Cricetulus griseus: one gene and its partners. The protein of the gene in region 2 interacts with the protein of the main gene of each other region in a biochemical or structural test. Links are inferred from orthologs where the notes say so. Each region holds a gene or a part of one and is shown on either strand. Other genes may lie near its edges.

The links. The genes of interacting proteins can lie anywhere in the genome.
Region 1: the proteins of Slc9a3r1 (region 2) and Cftr form a complex in vitro, tested with the Homo sapiens proteins (9 studies listed by BioGRID and IntAct, with this or other methods). The link is inferred for Cricetulus griseus from reciprocal best matches to the Homo sapiens genes NHERF1 and CFTR.
Region 3: the proteins of Slc9a3r1 (region 2) and Adrb2 form a complex in vitro, tested with the Homo sapiens proteins (3 studies listed by BioGRID and IntAct, with this or other methods). The link is inferred for Cricetulus griseus from reciprocal best matches to the Homo sapiens genes NHERF1 and ADRB2.

What each region holds. Positions count from the first base shown.
Region 1 is NW_023276806.1:208,422,081-208,430,222, forward strand, and holds the start of Cftr (cystic fibrosis transmembrane conductance regulator), read right to left. Parts: upstream 4,168-8,142; coding exon 3,825-4,167; intron 3,730-3,824; coding exon 3,621-3,729; intron 1-3,620. UniProt on the Homo sapiens protein: Epithelial ion channel that plays an important role in the regulation of epithelial ion and water transport and fluid homeostasis. Mediates the transport of chloride ions across the cell membrane.
Region 2 is NC_048600.1:127,780,478-127,788,073, reverse strand, and holds part of Slc9a3r1 (Na(+)/H(+) exchange regulatory cofactor NHE-RF1), read right to left. Parts: intron 2,556-7,596; coding exon 2,394-2,555; intron 1,617-2,393; coding exon 1,463-1,616; intron 1-1,462. UniProt on the Homo sapiens protein: Scaffold protein that connects plasma membrane proteins with members of the ezrin/moesin/radixin family and thereby helps to link them to the actin cytoskeleton and to regulate their surface expression. Necessary for recycling of internalized ADRB2.
Region 3 is NC_048595.1:176,925,263-176,932,603, reverse strand, and holds Adrb2 (beta-2 adrenergic receptor), read right to left. Parts: upstream 3,125-7,341; coding exon 1,868-3,124; downstream 1-1,867. UniProt on the Homo sapiens protein: Beta-adrenergic receptors mediate the catecholamine-induced activation of adenylate cyclase through the action of G proteins. The beta-2-adrenergic receptor binds epinephrine with an approximately 30-fold greater affinity than it does norepinephrine.

The sequences.
Region 1 (8,142 bases), on a different chromosome or scaffold from region 2:
GACATTACAGTAATAATATACTTTATGGTGGTATTCACTCGTGAACCTCTTAAACAAGTTTCAACATTTATGAATTGAGTATTAACACAGTAAGCCCAACTTCCATAGAGAAAACCAAAAGCCTCAATTTCCCCTGTGTATCATTATTAAGTGTGCATCAAGGGGTATTTCATTGTTACTTACATCAAACAACATGTTGATGAAGTTATTTTTAAAATAATAGCTTCCTCTGCTCTGAGTAGCAGGGGCTTGAATATTAAAAGTGTATTGTGTGGTATGGGCTGTAAAACCATTGATAAAATTTTAATAATTGTGACATCAACTAAAATAAGTTTAACGATATCAAGATATTTATTATATATGTACAATGACAACTTTCATTATATCATGCACAAGAGGTACTCTTAGAACTATGAAACTGACATGAAACTAACATATTATCCCAAGTTGAAAACTCTGAGCTGTGTAGTATCAAAACATGATCAGCAAAAGGCAAATAAACAGAAGAGAGTTCTGAGGGTCTGGTACAGAGCCAACATTGGGCAGTGTTTGTGCAGTGTCCAGAGAGTCCCCATCCTAGATGCAGCTTCATCTAATTCCTACTGGGAAAAAAAAAGCCAAAGGATAGCATGGAAACCTGGAACTATAGCCCCTGGATAGCATCCATCAACTAACTAAAGGACACGTAGAATTCAACTATACTAGGTTTCTTAAATACCAGGACTGTACCTTCAGTCCATCAAAACTGGCCTTTGGATTTGCATACCCTAAGTCTTGCCCAACAGACAAACATAAGATAATGTCTGTGGATCAGAAACAGAATGGACATGCTACTACCCAATTTTTTGTAACTGTTCATAGCTCAGTCAGTAATTTCCCTCACAAGCATGAAGACCTGAGTAAAAACCCAAGCACCCATGTAAATAGGTAGGTGATGTAGCACAGGCTGATAATCCCAGTGCTGGGAAAGCAGAGGCAGGAAGACTCCTGGGTTTGCTGGCAAGCATGTCAAACATAATTGGAAAAATTCAGGTCAATGAGACCTGTTTCAAAGGACATGATGGGCTTTCAGAGGATGATACCTTATATTACCCTCTGGTCTACACATACACACACACACACACACACACACACACACACACACACACACACACACACAAACACACACTCTACCAGGCACACATCAGGCATGATCTTTTTACTACAGTTGTATGAAAATGTAAGGTTTAAATATTTCTCAAAATCAAAGATTTTTATAAATTAATCACACTAATATATGAATCATAAATTCTATGCAAATATATCACCACTTGTTTTAAAACAACTTTTTTCATAAATTTATAACATCTTCTAGTTAATGTACTATTTTCCGTGAAAGTCACAAAATACTTGAAATTTTCATGGTAAAATTGTCTTCTGTGTTAGAATACTTCCAATGACTTCCAAACTTTTCCTTCCTGTAAACACTTGCAAAAATATATTTTTATTAAGCTTGTTTTGGTTTTAGTGATATAACCTAGATAATTAAACTGATACTTAATATAATTCATAACCCAGACCCTAATATTGGAAACATGGCCTTCAGGTTTTTTTAGTCTTTTATACCCTAAAACTGATGGGATAGTACTCAGAAACTCAAACTCTAAGGCATCTATGGAGATCTGAGCATATGGATTTCCCCTAAATATCTAGTAAGTCCATATTAGATGAGACTATCCCTTACATTAATTTCTCAAATATATAATACACATACACATCACATAAAAAAAGGTTGATAGTCAAAAATTATAACCAACAGAAATAAACTCATTGTCTTACATAAAATGTAGAAAATAACCATAGCAGCTAGCATTTCCTCAGTAAGCCCAGGACATAACTACTCAGCAGATTAACCCACTATGTCATATGCACATTGACAGCCTCTAAGTTTTAAAAGTCAGGTCACACAGAAATGTGAAAGGACTTGCCCATTAAGCAATCCTGAAACCAGGCAATAGGAACCCAGAGCCCACTGTCCTCGACACTAGGCAGAAATGCCTAGTCCAATGGGAAAAAAAGGGTTTTCATCTTTGAAAAGGATAGTTCAGAAAGAAGTTTCTAATCACTGACTGGTACTGTAGCTGAATGTCAGAGCCTATAAATAGTAAGAACTTAACTCTTAAAAACACACCTATTCTTAAAGCAACTGATTATGAAATCGTTTGAAGGACAGAAATGAGTATGTGCTTAACAAATTTCACAGCCATTATAATATTTTTCCTTTCCAAATCAACCTAAGAGCATTTGGAAGGTACACTAAAATAAATGAGCTGTATAATAAGAGGGGAGATTTTTGAAACACTGATAAATGAACAATCTAAGTTTCTTAATACTTTAGTGGGGAAAATACACAAGAGACATTCTCATGAGAACGTGAGGCACTGACATGTAGGTTCCTCAAAATGATCTCATAAAAGTGTGCAGTTTATGACAATTAACACTCTGTTGCTGTGAGTAGTAGGAAAATAGATCCCGGCTGATAAGCTGAATTTATGGATGAAGTAACAAAAGCACTGTGAATACCAAAGGTAACTCCAAAGGGTAAAGACCTTGTCTCCCATCCACTGGGAGGAGCTCTCCCACAGAGGCACTTGTCCTCTTAGTCCTGAGCTCTAGACCCACCGGCGGCGGCAAAGGCAAGAAGACTGAAAGCTGAGCTTTGCCTCCTGCCCACACCACAGGGCACATTTACAATCTATGCAACACTCTGGTCCTTTAGTTTGCTAAAGTTTAGATTCCCTGAGGAGCTGTGAGTCAAGTGAGCTCCCATGAGAGAGCTGTTCTTTTCGTTCATCCACACTAGAGGAACAGAATAGCCGCGCCATAGAGCATGTCAAATACAAAGTGCTTAATTAGTCTTGCCTAGGTCTCCCAACTTAAAATCTAATTTTAAAATCCTTTTCTATTGAGGTTTTGGCTCATGCTGTGCAATGCAGGATAAGAGAACAATGTCCCAAGTGTCAGTTGGATATAGCTTCAGTAGCTAGAACCCCAGCTTCATATCCCATGGTTACTGCTTTCCTAAATTCTTTGCTTTTGATATTTCTGCTGCTTAAAGATAAATATTTTAACTGACTTGCTCACATTCTTAAAAAGTAATGTAACTATGGTTACATTACTTTTTGGTGAGCATGTCAGACTTAATATTACAATAGCAAAAAGTACTATATACTTCCTCAAAAAAATTCAGTCAGCAAATGTTTTCTGAACACCTACTACATACAGGTATGACACCTGCAGACAAGCTTCCTGGGGAAAAACAATGAACCAACCTTAAGGATTTTTAATTAAGAAAATCTTACAAATTTTTCAGGAAAAAAAATTAAGAAAACTGTTGCCCTGCAAATATTTAGGTGTTGCAAGTCTGATTCTCAGTTGCAAGTACATTTTGTTCTCCATCTAATCAGCTTCAATTTATTCTATAAAATCCACATTTCCTTTAAAACAATGAATGACAACACACCTTTAAAAACAAAACGAAAACAACAAAAAAATCTCTTCCTGTTTTCCCAAAGACTGCCCATATGCATTCCCTTCTTTGGCATGGGCACACCTGCAAAGATCCCCTGGCACCCTCTCACCTGAAAAAGAGTTTGGAGATAAAGCTGGCTTTCTCCAAAGGCGACTTCTGCATGATGTCTCCGTGGTGCACTGAGGTCTGTGTCTGGACACGTTCAGGTTGGACTCGACCTCTGAATATCCAGGACCCAGTCAATGTTTTTAGCGATTCCCCTTTTGTCGGACCTGCGGTGATGTCATTTGCTTCCAATTCCCCCCTAACCAACTGGGTCCCACACGCCTCCCCTTCTCTCTGCCTTCCTCCCCCGCCTCCGTAGCCCAGGTTAAAAGCCAGCACTGCCTAGCCCAGCCCCAGTCCCTGCTCTCCACGCCCCAAGCCCGCCCCGTGCGCTCCTTCCTCCTGCGCGCCTTGCATGCCGCCCGCGCCTCCTTCTCCTGGCGCTCACTCCCCGCGCCCTCCAGCGCCCCCCCCACATCCCTACCTTCTGGCAGCAGCAATATCAGTGACGGCTCAGGCACCAGGTCCGGGGAAACCAAGGCCAATCTGCGGGAGCTAATATGCTTCTTATGTGTGACCAAGGACCACTGACTGACCTCCTTGGCTTCCATGAGCCTTTCTTCTCCCTCTTCCCAGTCTTCTATTTCTCTCTCTCCTCCTTCTTCACTTTCTCCTCCATCTCTTTCTTCTCTTCCTCCTTTATCTCTTTCTTTTTCTTCTCTTTTTCCTTCTTCTCTTCCCCCTCCTCTGCTACCTTCATCTTCTCCTCTTTTTCCTCCTTTTCCTTCTCTCCCTCTTCCTCCTGTCTCTGTAGCTTTTGGCCGAGTTACAGTTAACTTTTCAAGATTCATTTTGAAGAGGAGATGAAAACGTGGCTCCTCGGAATCAAAGTACAGATGCAGAAAGGTGCAAAGTCCCACAGTAGTCCGAGGTGTCCCACCTCAGCAAGCCCTTCAAGAGCTGGACAAGACCTAGCTCTGTTGACTGAAGTCTCTAGGGTAGCCATAGAGTCACAGACATCTATGAGGTACATGAATGTCATAGGCATATGTCACAATTCCTTGATATGTCATAATTACAGCAAAAGCCCTACCAAGGAATGGGGAGCAACTGCTTCCCCTAGGAGGCATGTGTGTCAGACACATGTATCACAATGCCTCCGATGTGCCATAATTATAGACAAAGTCCTTGAGGACAAAGGGAGCTATTGCTTTACCTATTTCCCACTCAGGATGTGTTCAGTGTGTGTTGTAGTGTTTTGTGTTTCTGAAGGCTTTTATGTGTGTGTGCTACAGAAATGACAAGTGGACTGTCTAAACTAAATGACTGTCCTTTAGATTTCCTTGTCTGCTAAGCAAAATATCTGACAGGAACCCAAAGTCACTGAAGCAAAGGTATCCTATTCACCAAGAGCTCACTGAGAGAAATGCCTATGTCTTTAGCTCTCTGGGGGCTTTGAGAGTTTTCCAGGCTATGTGCCTTCCCCTTCCAAGCTTTTGGTGTGAGAATTTTGTGTCCAACATGAAAATGTGGTGGGTTTTAAAGGGCCAACACTTAAATACCTGAACCCTATTTAGCCAAAGCAAGTAAAATAGAGTTTGAATTATTTTTCCTTTTATTAAAAATAGAATTTTCTTTTTAGCCAAGCAGTGGCGGCACTGATCTCTGAGTTCGAGGTCAGCCTGGTCTCAGAGCAAGTTCCAGGACAATCATGGCTCAAGAAACCCAAAACCAAACAAACAAAAACAAAAACAAAACAAAAAAAGACAAGAAAATAGTTTTTTTTTTTTTTTTTTACCCCCAGACATTATATCCTGATTACTGTTTTCCCTCCATCTACTACTCCTACTTTCTCTCCACATGCCCTTCTCTCTGGATCCACTCCATTTCTGTCTCTTATTAGAAAACAACCATGCTTCCAAGGAATAGTAATAAAATATAATAAAACAAAAATTAATACATTGGAATTGGACAAAAACAAACAGAAAAGAACCCAAGAGAAGGAAGGCGCAAGAAACACGCCCAGGGATGCACTAGTCTAAAAGCCATAATTAATCTACATGCAGAGAACCTGGTGAGACCATGCAGGCCCTGTGCAAGCTGCCTCAGTCTCTGTGAGTTCATATGAGTTTTGCTCATGTTGATTTAGAGCACTTTGTTTTCATGGTGTCCTCCTTCCCCTCTGGCTCTTACACTCTTTCTGCCTCCTCTTCTGCAGGGTTTCCTGAGGCCTCAGGGGAGGGATCTGATGGATATCCCATTTAGGGCTGAGTGTTCCAAGGTTAGAGTCTGAGATTTTTAAAGAAACAAAATCAAAAATTAAAATGTTCTGGCCTGATTTTTGCCTCAGCATCTAAACACTGGGAGTGTTTACTTGTGAATTATCTGATTTTTGACTTGTGGACATCCAACTACAACACAAATAAAATATGTATTTCATAATACTGCTGAGACAAAAATGCACTTGAAATAATCATCGCCAAGAGGCTTTGCAAGCTTTACTTCCCATATCTACATTATCCTTTTTCCTTACTTTAAAACCATTATAAAGACATTTAATTTTTAGTATCCTGAATTTGATTACAAAAAGAATAGCAAAAAAATAAATCAAAGTTCGTACAGACAGACACTAGGGGAAAGCTTCAGTATATTCTAACTCAGTATTTTCAAGTACTGTATTTATGTTTTCCTCTCTTTTATGATAAAAATTGAAATTCAGTACTCATATTGACTTTTCCCAGCTATGCAACTGAAGTCATTCTATCCTTTCCCCACCCTCATTCCATAGTTTATAACTACTAGTGTGACCCATCAAATGTGATTTACAGAATCTGAAATTAATTTATTATCAGTTCCTCTTTGTTCTCACCAACATGTGACTCTAAATAAAGAATTAAATTTCAAAGATCATCAAAGCTGACCAAGCTATACAACTTGAGGAGATCTCAAGCTGCTTTCCCTTAAAAGGACCAGGGAAAAGGTAATGAATGAGTTCTTGCATTGTCCAGGGGTCATTTAACAGCCAAGTGCATACATGTTATTATACATATTTTGCCATTTCTAGGTGATGAAGCATCCAATTGAATGAATGTCTATATTAGTGGATTCAAACTCAGATGGGATCCCAAACATTTAGTCCCATCAGTTTGAAGCATACTTCTAAACAAATCTCCCATCATGTATGTATTCACATTCTGTCACCACCACTGTCTTTCTCCTCACAAGAAGCCACTAGAGTTACCTACCTTTGATAAATGTTCTGTAAACATTACAATCCAGTCTAAGAGTGTATGTATACACATGAGCATAGAAAACCCTAGATCTTATCTTAAAACATCACATCCCAAACTTGTTTGGGCAGAAGATTTCAACAAAATAGACATGTCCAAGTAATTGAGATATAACATCCAAAATTTGTATCTATGTACATACCTGATAAAAATGTGAAAATGCGTCAGAAAAATCCAACTACAACACCCACAACTAATCACTGAACTGAACTGGAATCCAGTTGCAGAGAAGGAGGAGTGATGAGCAAAGGGGTCCAGACCAGGCTGGTGAAACCCACAGAAACAGCTGACCTGAACAAGGCGGAGCTCATGGACCCCAGACTGATAGCTGGGAAACCAGCATAGGACTGTTCCATACCCTATGATCATGGGTGTCAGTAAGGAGACCTTGCAAATCTATGGGGCCTCTTGTAGTAGATCAGTACTTATCCCTAGCATAGGAATGGACTTTGGGAGCCCCTTCCACATAAAGAGATACTCCCTGAGCCTAGACACACAGGGGTGGGCCTAGTCCCTATCCCAAAAGATATGACAGACTCTGAAGACCCCCCTATGGAAGGCTTCACCCTACCTGGGGAGCAGAAAGGGGATGTGATAGGTAGGGTTTTAGCTGGGGGGACAGGGGAGGAGGGGAGGGAGAGGGAACTGGGATTGACATGTAAAACAATCTTGTTTCTAATTTAGATAAAAACAATGGGAAAAATATCTTTTCATAGAAGGACAAGATCCCAAAAGAGAGAAAGCAGACCTCTCATCAGCTTCACATACATAGGATGCCTACACTTACCCAAGGCAGAAAGTAGGGGCGGTCACAGCTCTTCCCTGACTTGCCACAAGGATCACTCACCATACAAATACATACTGCAGTCTTGGAAGTCTTACAAAGCTGTTTTTAGGCTATAAGGTACCCTTGTACACAGGCCAGATGATCATCTTTTCTGCTTCTAAAATTACATTTGTCCAACAAATCTGTTTACAAACACTCACACAAGTATACACACAAACATACACACACGCAACACATATATACACCCACACGCACACATTTCATATATACATAGAACTCTTCTTCTATGTACCATGTTTCATTTTAACTCATTTCTTATAAGTAATGCAGCAAGGACAACCAATCAATCATTTTATCTTGTAGTTCCTGACCTAACAGATGAAATGACATCCTAAAGGAGAAATCTGAAGATAGCTATTGTTAAGCTTTTGGAGGAAAGGATCCTGGTAGATGACTAATATAGAGTAGGGTAGTATCTGCATCAAAACCCAGAATTTACCCATAGTCAT
Region 2 (7,596 bases):
AAAGATTGTTTGACAATTTCAGAAAACAAGACCCCACTACAGTGCCATACTTTGGTATTTTCAACTACAACTTACTCTTACAATGTCTCATTTGGCAAACTGGAGGAACTTTTTTGGGTGTGTGCATAGGAGGATCACACTTGAGGAGGGCTACTTGATGCTGACTGGCAACTTGTGATAGACAAGACAGCTCCCTTTAACAGTAATACTTGGTGCAGTGCTGGGGGCCAAACACACAGCCCTCCGTATACTAATTAGTGCTCTACCACTGAGCTACCTTTCTGGGCCTAGCTTGACATCTGACCCAGAATGCCAAGATGCCAGGCTTGCAGGAGCGCTAAGATGGGATGGAGTTCTAGGGTAGCCAGTCAAAAAACAGATCACCTGTGTGTGGCCAGAGAGATGGCTCAGTGGTGACCTGATTACCTGAGTTGGATCTCCAGGACCCAGATGGTAGAAGAGAGAACTGACCTCCACCCACATCCACCCTAGGGCAGGGCTGGGCCTTGGTATTCACACCTCTCAGGGGCTGAAGGCAGATTTAGGGCCACACCTCAGATTATATAGCTGGCACCTGCTGCCTTGGAAAGACAATAATGGCAACTGTCTGGCATCTGGAAATGAGGGGACAAGGAGGTGCAAAGGCAATGTCCTGAGCAGAGTCAGGAGAGGCCAGTGAGAGAGAAAGTCAGCCCCCGGCTTTCGGCTTGGGGGAAGGCTGGTCCACCTCCAGAGACTAGTGAAGATGGTGTGGTGCCTCTGTATATTAGGTTCTGAGACCCGTGAATCCTCCACACTGCATCCGCCTCGGAGATCTGAGCTATGTGAACCCATTGCAAAGTCCAGACAGGTTTCACTTTCGGCATAGCACAACAGAGCACACTTCCAGAGCCATCTTCCCAGGCAGAAAGTCTGGACTAAGGAGTAGGGGTGCTCAGCCCCTCCTGCTGTGTGGTGTGGTGTGGTGGCCCTACTCACTTTGGCTTGGCTTGAACAGGAAGAGGTGCCAGGCTTGGCAAGATGAGAGTGGGGGAGGGGGAGAGGGCAGGGGCCCAGGGACTGAAGGGGACCCACTACTCTCCAGAGCCAGCAAGCCTGAGTTTCCAAGGCAACTTGACAAAGGGGGAGGGGAGCACTGGGCCCCTGTCACTGGACTCTGATCTGCCCAGCAAAGGCTGGAGGCTGCTCCAGAGTTAACTCTTTCCTCTCAGAGGGACCGTCAGTCTGAGAACTCACTGGACTAGGGAGAGGCCCAGGCCGTGCTTGGTACTGAATCTCATCCCTCCTTCATGTTAATTGTGGTTAATTACCATCAGCTGCCACCTTTAGACGCTCATGGCCCATCCCAGCTTCTACTCTCCTCCAACCTGTGCTATTGGGTCTCTCCTTACAATCCGAGAAGCTACCCCCCATTTCTGGCCAAGTCTTAGGCACTTGGCCACACACCCAGCTGTGCACTCACCATCCAGGTGTTCCTGTGACGGGATCACTTTGCACTTCTTGAAGAACTCATCAGTCTCCTTGTCTACCACCAGCAGCTTGGCCTCATCCCCTCCAGCCTTGATGGCAGATACCACGTCCCCATGCTGCTTGCCCTCCATGCAGACACCATTGACCTGTGAGGCAGGGCAGGGACGGGGGTCACCCACACAGGTCTCAGTGCTGGGGAGGGCAGGTGGAAGAGGTCCCACCCGGGAATGCTGAATCCCCACATGTGCCTAGTCCCGAACCCAGCCAGCCAGCAGTTCTCTGACAGTCAGTTGGGAAGCAAGACAAATGGGAAGCGCCAAAGAAAATACCCAGAGGAGACTATGCAAACACAGCTGTGAGCAAGGGGAGGCCTGGGAGCCCGGGCTGGGCTCTCCTCTGACCTCCCTCTCTGGGCCTTGGTTTTCTCACGTGTAAAGTGAGAAGTCTTGGAAGAGCTGATCTGTGGCTCTAAGGTTCTCACACTGTGATTCTGGGACCAGCCCAAGCATTTAGTTCACATTTCCTCTGTCGTGAGCACAGCCGAAGAACAGTGTCTCAAAGCTGAACTCAGGAGAGGGTGTTGGGTCCATCCTTGTGCCTGGCCCAGAGTGCTCAGGCATCAGGAAGGCCGTGCTGGTGGCCTCTGGCATCTACCTGGATTTTGGCAGATAAATCCTGGGTGTAGAGTGTGCATTTGGTAAAGCAGAACCATTAAGCCTGTCTAGTCCCATTTACCACTTAGCACCTATCCTTTCTGTGCCTCTACTCTACCTGTGCAGCTGCCCACCGTCCAGCACCTCTGTCTGCACTGCCCACATCCCATGGGTTAATCAAACCACAGACGGTACGAGGCTGCCCCCAAGCAGCAAAGATCAGGAAGGAAGAGCCTGGGAGAGTACAGAGAATGTTGTACAGGGTATCACCTCCACAATGCGGTCTTGGGCTCGGAGTCCAGAGGCCTCTGCGGGGGAATCTGGGTCCACTGCTCGGATGAACTGGCCTGGCTTAGACTTGTCGCTGTGCAGGTTGAAGCCATAGCCATTGGGGCCTTTCTTCATGGTGCAGAGCCGAGGCCGGAGCTCACGCTGTGGGGATGTAGGAAGCAGCCATGTCATTCCACAATGTCCCAATACCACCTTCTCCAACTCCACTCTCCTCCAGTGGTGATTGGAGCCCACAGAGCAAGGCAAGAGAATCTGGCCCAGGGTTCAGATATGAATAGACACTTAGCACTGAAGTAAGCCGACTGGCTCTGGGTGAGCCACCGTCTTGCCTGGGCTAGGTTCCCTCCTGGATTCTACTACTCATGTGTTTGGTCTTATCCTTTTCCACCCACGGCTCATCTGGTCCTCCTAGGCCTGGCTGGGCACCTGAGACTCATGAGTGGGCACCTGGCCCCTGTATCTGTTCTCTGTTGTGAGAGCATGGATAGCTGTTTACTGAAAGCTGGCCAGTTTGTTTACAGTAAAGGTTTTCATCTCTAGTGGGCTCCCTCCTCGACTCCAGTGAGCCAAATGGCCCAGCCAAATGTGACCCTGATAACCTGAAACCCAGCAGGTGGCTGGGGGAAGAGTCCTGGGGTAGATGGGACTTTTAGCTCTAGATCCAGCCAAGGATATAGGGAGCAACAGAGGTGTGTGTGTGTGTGTGTGTGTGTGTGTGTGTGTGTGTGTGTGTGTGTGTCTAATCCCCCAAGGATTCATATGGGGAGGAGACCATGAAAGAGGGCTGGGCCAATGTGGTCAGACCGTGGCCTGGAAAGCAGGGCCTGTTACTTTTTGGGTTGTTGATTTTTTGTTTTGTTTTGTTTTGGAGACAGGGTTTCTCTGTGTAACTCTGTAGACCAGGCTGGTCTCAAACTCTGAGATCTGCCTGCCTCTGCCTCCTGGGTGCACCACCACCGCCTGGCCTCTTCCTTTTAACAGTATTTATTTATTTAGTGTGTGTGAGAGAGAGCATGAGTATGACATAGCCCACAAACGGGGTTAAAGGGCAACTTGTGAGAGTTGGTTCTCTCCTTTCACAATTGGGAGTCAGGTCATCAGACTTGGTGGCAAGTGCCTTGACCCACTGAGCCATCTCACCGCCACCCCTCTTTCCCCTGAAAGACATAAGCTAGTGTCTTTTGTGCACCCTGGCATTAGCTGGGACAATTTCAATATCTTCCGTCCTCTTTGGGCAGCTCAGCTCTGAAGCTACAGTCTTGATGCTTTCATGACACAGGCTGACAGATGGACAGACACTGGACACGAGCCTACAGAAGCTGGAGGCTCTGCAAGCCCTACCCGAGCTCCACCCTGACCCCAACTCCAAGCCTGGGGCAAGCCTGTTCTCCACTGGCTGGAACCCTAGTTGCCACCTACCCTATGGGGCAACAAAGTGCTCCTACTAGCTTGTGACTTGGGGCGAATCATTTCCATTTCTGGGTCTCAGGGTCTTCCTTTCTAGAGGTGTTTATTGCTACCTGCTTCTCTGGGTTGCTGCTGAGGCCCAATGACACAGTATAAAGCCACACTTTGAACTTCCCAGTGCCTGCCCAGACCTGGATGTTGCCATTGTTCTCACTAAGTCCCCAAGCATACCAGGACTTTGCCATTGTTCTTGCTACTAAGGAACAAGCATGTAACTCTGAGATACTACTGGGTTGGGGAGGGTAGTGGCTAGATTGCTCTGAAACCCAAATCCTCAGCTGGGGGTACAAAAGGCAAGGGAGGGGAAGAGGAGGGAGGAGTAAAGGGAAAGCTTTGGGGCCTCCAGCCTCACCTTACCAGCATTGCCATCCCAAAGAAGAGATTGCTGGTTGGGGTAAGGTACTTGCTGCCAAGCTCAGCCCGAGTTTGCTCTCCAAGACCCACAGGGTGGAAAGAGAGAAGTGACTCCCACAGGTTGTCCTATGACCATGGCACTCCCACCCCACACAACATAATACATATGTTCACACAGTAAATTTTAAAGATGTAAAAAAAAAAAAAAATGCTTGGGCAGGCTTTGTGTACCTGTGTTCAGGATGTTGGTGAGGAATGTAAAGAGTCCAGAAGACAGAAGGTGACAGTCGGGATTTTCCATAGTGGTTACTTACCCAGATCCCAGAGACCCCTCACCTCAAACAGCAAAGACAACCAAATGAGTAGCAAAAAGAGGGTACCACAGGAGGCCCCTCCTTCCCTCAGCCTATCCAGCCCTTCACCTGCTGTGACCTAGCCCCTCCAGGAGCCCACCCCCACCTCCAGAACCATGTAGTTCCGGGAGTGAGGAGTCTCTTCCTTGCAGCTAATCCCCGCACAAAGCTGCCACAGGCCCTCCCCCAGGCTGCCTAGGTGAGCTGAACAGGTCTGACGAGTTGCTGCCACCAGGACAGACGGGCTCAGCTTTCTACCTTAGCCACACACCTCCTCTGGCCCTCAGTGTGTGGAATCCCAGCTTGCCTTCCACTCCCCCCGCCCCCCCCAGGATTCCCTTTCCCCAGACTTCCCACAGCAGCCTGGCTGAAGCTGGTTAGCTGTTTTTGAGACAGGGAAATTACAACACAGAAAGGTTAAAGCCCACTCAGTCTGACTAGAGACTTGCTTTCCTCCCACCACAACATCGGGCTTGCCCTTAAGCGTTGAGTCCAGAACTAGGCAGCCTGGAGTGAAGCCTAGTGATAGGCAGATGGTGGGGGCGCTTCTCACACTGACCAGGTGTCTGGGAGCTAATGAAACCACAGGCTTCCTTCCGGGAGCTCCACGCCTCTTGCAGCCAGAGCCCCAACCTGAGTGGAAGGATAAAGCCTGGCCTAGGTGACGAGGCTGTGAGCATGCCCGGGCTGGCACTGTGGCTAGAGCCAGGCTGAGGGTTCAGGAGGGGTGGCTCCCTAGTACTGGGCAGGGCTGGGCTAGGTGTCTCTGTGATGCCCACCTTCCAGTTCCAAGTCTGTGCTTTGGGGTTTCCCTACCGCACCTCAGCATCCCCTTTCTAGTGACATGTCATCAGAGTTCAAAGGTCCACTTTGCATCCTTCTGGCAGCATGAGGACCAGGAAGACTTAGAGGATCCTGCCTAAGGGGATAAGACATCCTCTACTCTATTGCCCTCTGGGTGGCTCTGTGGTTGATCCAGGGGTCTGTGGGTGGTAGCGTAGGTGACTGGTATTCTAGAAAGCCCGGTCTATGAAGCACTCACAGACCCTTCCATGCTAATGGGTCCCTTTCAGAAGTCTCTCTAGAGCAGTGGTTCTCAACCTGTGTGTCAGGACCCCTTTGGGGGTCGAACGACCCTTTCACAGGGGTCATACATCAGATATCTTGCATGTCAGATATTTTCATGATGATTTACTGTAGCAAAATTATAGTTATAAAGTACCATCGAAAATAGTTTTATGACTGGGGTCACCACAATACCAGGAACTGTATTAAAGGGTCCCAGCATTGGGAAAGTTGAGAACTACCGTTTTAGGTCTCTTCCTTCACAAGTGGGGGAGGGAGGGGTGTTTGAAACTTTCAGAGAAACAAGCCTATTCCCTTCCTGTCCCCATGAACTGTCAATGCAGCTGCTGAGTCAGCCCGTCCCAGCTTGGGTGGAGCTTAGAAGAGTCCCCTGGGGGCAGGCCCCTGGTTCCCAGGCCTCAAGTCAAGTAGAGATGGGGGAGGGGCAAGGTACCAGAGCTTGGATTGTGCCTCTGGGAAAAGAGATAGAGGGGGGAAAAACTCCACACAATCTTGGGCTTGGTGTGCGTGCCCCCTCTACCTTAAACAGCCTTACGACTTGTGCCAACTCCAGTAGAAGCAATAGCATGGGACGGGGTGCAGGGGGGAGGGGGAGCACCTTCATGGGAACATGGGCCCAGAGGCTAGATACAGCCTCCACATAAACTTCCAAAGTAAAATACAGGACAGGCTCAGGAGACTGGAGACAGAGGCAAAAGCCCCAGGCAATGGTGGCAGAGGGTGTCAATGGACCTGAATGATGCTGGACTGAGCCTCCCTTTCAGCTTTCCAGAGAGGTCCAGGAGCATTGCTTCCAAACCCTCCTCAAGGAGCCTTCTCCCTTCTTCAGAGGGCTGCCCCTTGACTCTCTGCCCCAGGGTTCAAACCCACCCTAAGAAGCCAGGCCAACATCTCCTCCCGCCCTTTGTAGGCCAGGGAGAAGATGGGGACCACGGAATTCAATAGTCACCACCCACACATGGGCCACCTGGAAAGCCGAGGAAAGTCGATACCTTAGTCCTAGTGCAGTCTCTGGGGAGCAGGCCCAAGGCCGCTCCATGCTCCCCCTTGAGGGAGGTCCGCTGGGTGGCTGGGGGACCAATGTCTCTTTGGGCCCAGCTCCTCCCTGGCTGATACCATGGTGATGGGCTCAGGAGAAACAGCAGGGCAATTTCTAGCACTTCCCAAGGGCCTCTCAGTTCCAGGCCCCAGCAGCAATGGCTGTGAGAGTGGGAAGACCCCCAGGGTGGCCAGGGAATACTTTCTAAGACTGTCCTTCCCCAGCCTAGCCCAGCCCAGCTCAGCCCAGGGCTCTTATTTATGGAAATAAGCTGGTGTCCTGCTGTCCCACACAGGGGAAGTAGCCCCAGATAGAGATGGGGGACTAAGAGGGGTCAGGAGGAGGAGCCTTTGTGGGGAGAGGCTGGGGACATTTCTGCTTTGCTGCGGGAAGCAGCTAGGGTTTATTTCCCATGGACTTGGGGGACATAGGCTTGGAGCTGGCATTGTTCCTCAAGTAAGCTTGATGGAAATGGCTTGATTCTGCAGAGGGTTGCCACATAAAGGCAGCATGGAACACTGCCCTTTAGGCAGGCTGAGAAGTGACCAGGGGCTTGGAACTCTGCGCCACTTCAGCCCCTGTAGGCTAAAGATGTCCTCTGCTCACTCCTGATGTGGGCTTGGCTACTACCAAGCCTGATGTCATTTCAAGTTCCCTGTAGGATCCTTCCTCTCTTCATCTGTACAAGAACACTTCTGTTCCCAATTGCTTTGTGTGTGTGCGAGCGCTCACGTGTGTGGTGGTCCTTGTAGGAGCCAGGTAGCAGGAGGAACCAGGAGAGCTAAAACGGGGGCTGCTGCAGATACACCAATACTCCTGAGCCAGGTCCTTGCTCTCACTAGTGTCTGTGGTCAGTGCTGGACAGACAGACTTATGGTGAAGC
Region 3 (7,341 bases), on a different chromosome or scaffold from region 2:
TGACCCTTGCAGGCTGATCCTTTCCAGCCTGGTGTTGCCAGGGAGGACGATCCACTCCATGAAACCTGGGCCATGCTCTGGCTCCAACACACAGGCAAAAATAGAATGAGGCTGCGAGAAGTAATGTGTTTACTTTTGTGATTTCCCTCTGTGCCTCTTAACAGTATTATAATCTCTCTGCAAACAGGCAGTGAGGGCCTGTGGGCCTCACCTCTACTGATAAACCCTCCAAAATAACTCAAACCTTAACTTGTGGCAACTACCTGGACAGCTGGAACACAAGTTTAGAAGGCAGCATGATGAAGAAGAAAGAAGAGGGGCCGAGGGACTGTCAAAACTGAGTGAACTGGGGACAAAAAAACAAAACAAAACCCAAAAACCTTCTCCCTTCTCCTAGGTGTCAAAAACACAGCATTTGTAGTAAATAGCAAAACCCAGCTAATTTATATTTTCAAAGTCTACAACAGGCTTTCTGCAAAGGACTACTTTGTCCTGAGGGGTAATAGGTCATGGCTGAGGTTATTTTGGTCTATGATTTATAAACTTGAGGGGTGCCACTGGAATTAATTGGGTGCAGGTCTGCTGCTAAATATCCTATAATGCATGGGAATGCCAGGCATGAGAAAGCCTGATTTACAAAGAAGTGCAGAGAATCAGGGGAGAGGAGACCAGGAAAGCGGAAGAAGGGAGAGGCTGAACCCGTGTTCAGGGTATGAACTATTCACCAGCTATCTTTGAAAGCTTTGCACTCTATGACCAAGGTCTCTGATTTCCCTTGGAATTCTGAGATTCCTGAATAGCTTTACACAGAACATCTTCCTCATCCTGAATACACCAAGCCCTGCTGCAGTACAAAGGGCACTACTGTAAAAGATGCCAGTGATATAAATCCACACAGTTTTTAAACAAGGGCTGGAAGGTAGGTAGCAGGAGCATGTGGGACAGAACGTATGCCCAGAACACACACTCTCTCCTCTCTCTCTCTCTCTCTCTCTCTCTCTCTCTCTCTCTCTCTCTCTCTCTCTGAGTCAGGGTTTCCGAGGTGACAGCACAGAATAGCAACTGTAGGACACACTGGGTTATGCTGAGAGCAGGCAGAACTGATTTGGGGCACAAGTAAAATTAGGAAAGACACAGGTTTGCATTTGGAAATCCAAAGGCACATGGGAGGGCTAGGCAATCAATGCATACCATTCTGGTACCCTTCCACATCAAGACACACAGCAGTTATGACACATAGTTACCTGTGGTTTCCAGTGGGAAAGACAAGGACACTCCAGAGTCAAGAGGTTTTGGAGAAACAGGTGCAATGAAATCATGGTCAAACAATTTATTTACTGTAAACTTTAGACTTTGCTCAGAAAAAAACAGCTGAAGCTGTCCCTCAGATCACTGCCTACAACACTCCATTTGAGCAAATAAGTGGAGCGGGGGAGAGTATATATTCACAGCAGAAAGGTCCAAGACACAGGATTGTCAAGTCCAAGGGTACAGGAAGGAAAACTTCCTTCTGATACAAATTACTAGCAGCAATAATAGTATACCCTAACACTTGACCAATGAGGTAGATGCATGGAAAAATCATCTAAACGTACAGACAGTCCTCTAGGACCAACACGCTTCAGACAGAAACTTTTAAGTTCCGTGCAAAGAGGAACTGAACTGCACAAGAAACAAATAAGCACTCAAATACAGCTTCTCCCCCTCTCTTGTTTTTGCAGCTTAAAAAAATAAAATAAAAAAGGGCAGAAGGATGTTCCCCTTCTGCAAATCTCTATACAATTTTATTCTAAAGTTATTACACTCAAGTTAAATAGTCTGGTTAGTGTCCTGTCAGGGAGGGGTCTTAAAAAGCAGAAAGCCTGCATTACAGTGGTGAGTCATTTGTACTACAGTTCCTCCCTTGGGAATCAAGGCTAAGGCTAGACACAGTACCTTGACAGTTCGCAAAGCTTTCCGTGCCTGGGGTGTCCTCACACAGCAGTTCACTTTCTTTTTCCTGCCCCAACTGACATTCACTTGCCTCCCCCATGTAGTCTGTTTTGCCATTACTGTTGGTGGAGTAGCCATTCCCATAGGCTTTCGCAGAAGACCTGCGGAGGCATAAAAGCTCCTGGAAGGCAATCCTGAAGTCTGGACTCCGACAGTAGATCAGGGGATTGAAAGCAGAATTGACATAGCCCAACCAGTTAAGGAGGATGTAAACTTCCTTAGGGATGAGGTTTTCCTGGATGACATGCACGATGTTGACAATGAAGAAGGGCAGCCAGCAGAGGGTGAATGTGCCCATGATGATGCCTAAAGTCTTGAGGGCTTTGTGCTCCTTCAAGCAGAACTTGGAGGACCTTCGGAGTCCGTGCCCACTCCGCCCATCCTGCTCCACCTGGCTGAGGTTTTGGGAATGGAATCTTCCCTCAGATTTGTCTATCTTCTGGAGTTGCCTTTTGGCCACCTGGAAGACCCTGGAATAGACAAAGACCATGACCACTAGAGGCACGTAGAAAGACACAATGGAGGAAGCAATGGCATAGGCCTGGTTCGTGAAGAAGTCACAGCAAGTCTCCTTGAGATAGCAGGTGATGGCTTTCTTGTGGGTGGCACGGTACCAGTGCATCTGGATGGGCAAGAAGGAGGTAAGGCCGGATACAATCCACACCATTAGGATGACCATTCGGGCCTTATTCTTGGTCAGCAGGCTCTGGTACTTGAATGGCGATGTGATAGCAATGTAGCGATCCACTGCTATCACACACAGGGTCTCAATGCTGGCTGTGACGCATAACACATCAATGGAAGTCCAGAACTCACACCAGAAGTTGCCAAAATTCCACATTTTCATAAGGATGTGACTGGCCCCAAACGGCACCACCGCTAGGCCCATGACTAGATCAGCACACGCCAAGGAGGTTATGAAGTAGTTGGTGACGGTCTGTAGTCTCTCGAACTTGGCAATGGCTGTGATGACCAGCACGTTGCCAAACACGATGGCCAGGACGATAACCGACATGAGGATGGCCATGCCTACCACCCACGCTTCGTCCCGTTCCTGAGTGATGTCGTGGTCCGGCGTATGGCTTCCGTTGGGTGTCAGCAAGAAGTCACTGTCGTTCCCGGGTGGCCCCATCGCTGGCAGACTAGCAGGTGAGTGCACTGGCTTTGGGCGCCCTGGCGCTCTCAGCGGGTGCACCTCCGACGGGGCACAGCCTGCCGGGGACGGACTCCTGGAAGCTTCATTCAGCGGCTGTAGGTGGCTGTGCTGGGGGCGCGTTCTGCACACTCAGCTCGTGGGGTGCTCTGGGTTCGCGGTGCCTGCTAGCTGCAGCCTGAACGCTGGAGAAGCAGTCTCGCAATGCTCCCTGCCCGTTATGTGCACCGGACTTTAGGGGAATTGCTTGGTGACGTGCAACAACTTTGGGCCAATGGTACGGTCGCATGCCCGGAGGGGCGAGGCACCAAGGGCCAACCCTCCCTGCCTAGCCCGCCTCCTCCTGGGGTTGGTCCGGGCGGGGCCCCAGTGCTCCCCGGAGGCCAAGCCACCACTCCCTCCCAGCTACCCTAGTGGGGCCTCAGAGACAGAAATCTGGAGCTGCTGTACGATCCACCAACCAAGCGCAGTCTGGAAGTTCTTCTACCTGTCCGTGCAGGTCACCTCTGCGGGCTGAGGTCTCTGGATGCAGGTGGCACACAGCGCATTTTCCTTTAGGAACAGAGAAGAGAGACTGAACAAGCACACTCGGACACGCATACACAGGCACAAACGCACTCGGCCGACGTGGACATGCTCAGACTTATGCCGCACCACAGCCACAGACACCGAGACACACCCGCGCCCACTCACGCTGGAGACGACAGCTGTCTCCTGGTCCAATGCAGAAAGGTGGCTAAAAACAAACACAGGAATACCTAGAAACATGCAGAAAGAAATGTACACAAGAGCTCATGTGGAGATGTGGTGTGCGGACCATTCAGACACCCATGTCCACATCCAGGTAGCATCCTCCTGAAGCACTTATAAATGACACCCTCTTTTCCCATTCCCAGACTCTCAGTATATTCCCTTACAGTTATTTGGCAAGAGCACAGGAGGTGACTTCAATAGCTACAGTTTCTCTGCACACTTTTTGAAAAATATGTTTTGGCATCCTCCCCCCTTGAGACCTTGCAGGCATCGAGGCAGTAATTTACCCTTTGTCTTTCATTAGGAGTTCAAGTATTTACACATTTAGGGGAGAGTTAGGTGGTTTTATTTTATTTTTAATTCTTGGGAGTGTGGCATCATTTTCTTGTTATATGAGGATGCATTGAAAATGAAAATGTAATATTTTCCTTTTACATTTTTAAAAGTTAAGTTAAATTCATTTATTTTACACATATGGGAGTTTTATCTCTAGGTATGTCTTTTCATTGTATTTGTGCTTATTTTGAAGGTCAGGAGAGAGCATCAGATTCCATAGGACTGGAGATACAGAAATGTACCAGCTCATAAGCTGACATGTGGGTGCTGAGATTGAACCCTGGTCCTCTGGAAGAGCACTTAATGTTCTCTTAACCACCGAGGCACCTCTCCAGTCCAGATAATTTTCATTTCAAAGAATTTCTTCAATTACTCCATTGAAACTATAAAAATATCATTTCATGTGTTGGCTGGATAATTTGTTAATCTTTTAAGCTGTGTCATGTGAACTTGCTACTGTTGGACTTGCTACTATTGTTTTAAAAAAAACCCATAATTTCATATAACATTATATTAAAAACATGCTCTCTGGAGACCATTTTAAAACTACAGAAAGTAAATGATAGTTGTTTCCCCCCTTTAAAAAAAATCAGACAAAGACCTAGATTCATGAAATACTATCCTCATCTGGAAAATGATTTTGACTATTGGGAAAACAAATAATTTTTTGCGTTTGATTTCACATGTGTTATCTTTGACAAACTGCAAGTCTTTCACACCGCATAACCAAACATACTTTGTAGATTACATAATAACATAACAATAGCTGACATTTAGGGAACATTCTGCTATGCCCCTTTTGTGCATTATTGCATTTAATCCCTCCCATAGTCCCATGGGGGTATTTTTAGCTCAGTTCTCCAGTGGGGCTCAATGGGGCAAATAGCTTGCCAGTGGATACTGGCCAGGCAGTACCAGAAGATGAATCTGAACCTGAATCTGTCTGATTCTAGCATCCAGTTTTTCAATCTTTCTAAGGTATTATGTTATTCCATGAAGAAAAATGAGGGGGGGTCGTCTAGAAGAAACCTACAACTGGGATTGGAGCACGTGTGTTTCAGGTGCACCTTGGAACTTTAACTTTTGTTTTCCTTAGTCAAACCACAATGAAGGAACCAAATTCCTTCAATCTCTAAGGGGGTGCACGTGTAAGTGTGTGTGTGTGTGTGTGTGTGTGTGTGTGTGTGTGTGTGTGTAGAATGATAATGTGTGATAGTGTGATAAAGTCATTTTCATTGGAATGAGTGAGAATCAAATTCAATAGAAACTATGAAAGGGCTGTTACATAGATAAATATCAGACCAATGTGAGCTTGCTAGTGTACTTTATATCATTTACTTAATCCTTTAGAACATATTACTAGTTTCCTCCAGCAGAACTATAAAACACTTTATGAAAAAGGATGGTGCAGTGTTTACTTCAGAAATGGGGCTTAGAAATGAAACTTCTTCAGCAGCACACACTTTTTTTTGACAAGTGTCTCAAAATATTTTCCATAAGCCCACAAATATCAATTAAAGATTTATTATGTTCACATAGTTTTAAAAATACACCCACCTCATATTTGTGTTTTCCAAAATTGGCTCTGGTTTGATGCATTTTAGGATGAGGCTTTGTGTTATGCAACAACCTTCCTTTAAATACACATCTACCCTGAATGTGGAACTAAAACATTTAAAACCTACTTCCTGTTTGTGCGAGGGTATGGAGTAAATAAGCATGCAGTTTAATCTACCTCTAACAACAAAAAAAAGAATAAGGCAAACCCTTTTTAGGAAAAACACTGACCAATATTTTATTTGGTATACACTTTAAGTTGCCCCAGACTTTAACTAAATAATTTGGGAAACATCTTTTAAAAACCTTACACATATTAAATCAAGAAGAGGAAATAACATTTGGCAAAAAGGAGGTCCCAGCAGTTTTGACAGGTAGACATACTCTTTCCTCCTGTGGTAGGAATTTCAGAATGTTATCATTTCTTAGACCTCCTTTTAGAATTCTAAGTCTGGACACAATTAAAATAGGAAAGAGTTTAGCAGATCATTTAGTCTATTTCCTTTAGTTTGCAAAAAAAGAGGAGCCTGAAGTGAAGAAGTGGGGGAGTGTCCTGTTCAAGGTGTTAGGGAAGTTAAGGGTCCAGCTCTGCCCTCCTGGCTGCACTTGTTTTCCAGACCCAACAACTTTGATTTCATTCTGCAGTGAATGGGATTGTTACAACTGCTTTCATGGAGCTTGAGACCTTACAGAGCTAAGTCATACAACAGTAGACTAAGCCACCTTTATCTGATGTAAGAAAAGTCGAGCTCTTTTATAGTGATTGATAGTGTCTAATTACATATTTTGTCAATCCCTTAAGACACTGATTTGTCATTTCCTGCCTGCCAAACAGGAATAGAAGCCACAGTTTGATTTATCTAATGAGTGTTTGAACAGAAGCAGGGCTCTGTGTTGCCAGAGAATGCCCTCACACCAACCATTGGACAGCCAAGGAACCTCCTCCCTGTTTTGGCTCTGACAAAAATTCTTCCATCTTTTCAATTCTTGGACAGAGAAACATCTGTGGAATTCCTTTGTTTAACATGTCTACCTTTTACTAATATCTCTAGACAGGGTTATCTAACCAAATTTATATTAAATGAAATGAAATACATGTAAATACTGAGTGTACTACCTTCAAAAGATGGTTATTCCTATTGTCTTATCTTTTATTGCATTAAAAGGTAGATATAGAATGCATGTTTGTCTCATTATTTCACATGTGTGAAAGGACCCTTAGAACATGAGTAGCATGAAATTTATTTTTAATTTGAGTTACAATGAGATTAAGCAAACGCCATTCCTTTGAGAAAAGGAACAAAATTTCCAGGGAGAAGAATGAACCTGAAAATTATAATTGCTAGTATTTGAGCTGTCTAGCATGATGTGGGTGGTAATGGCTTGGGGTGAAGCATCTTAACTTCTTACACAGTGTTTTCTCTCAAGTCTTGGAAAAACCCACCAGCTTGTTGTATTTTCCACACAGTTCAGATTTTGAACTAAAATCTGTTTTCTTTCTATTTATGCCCATGACTCTTACGTCTGCCCCCTAGAGGCCACTCAGGACA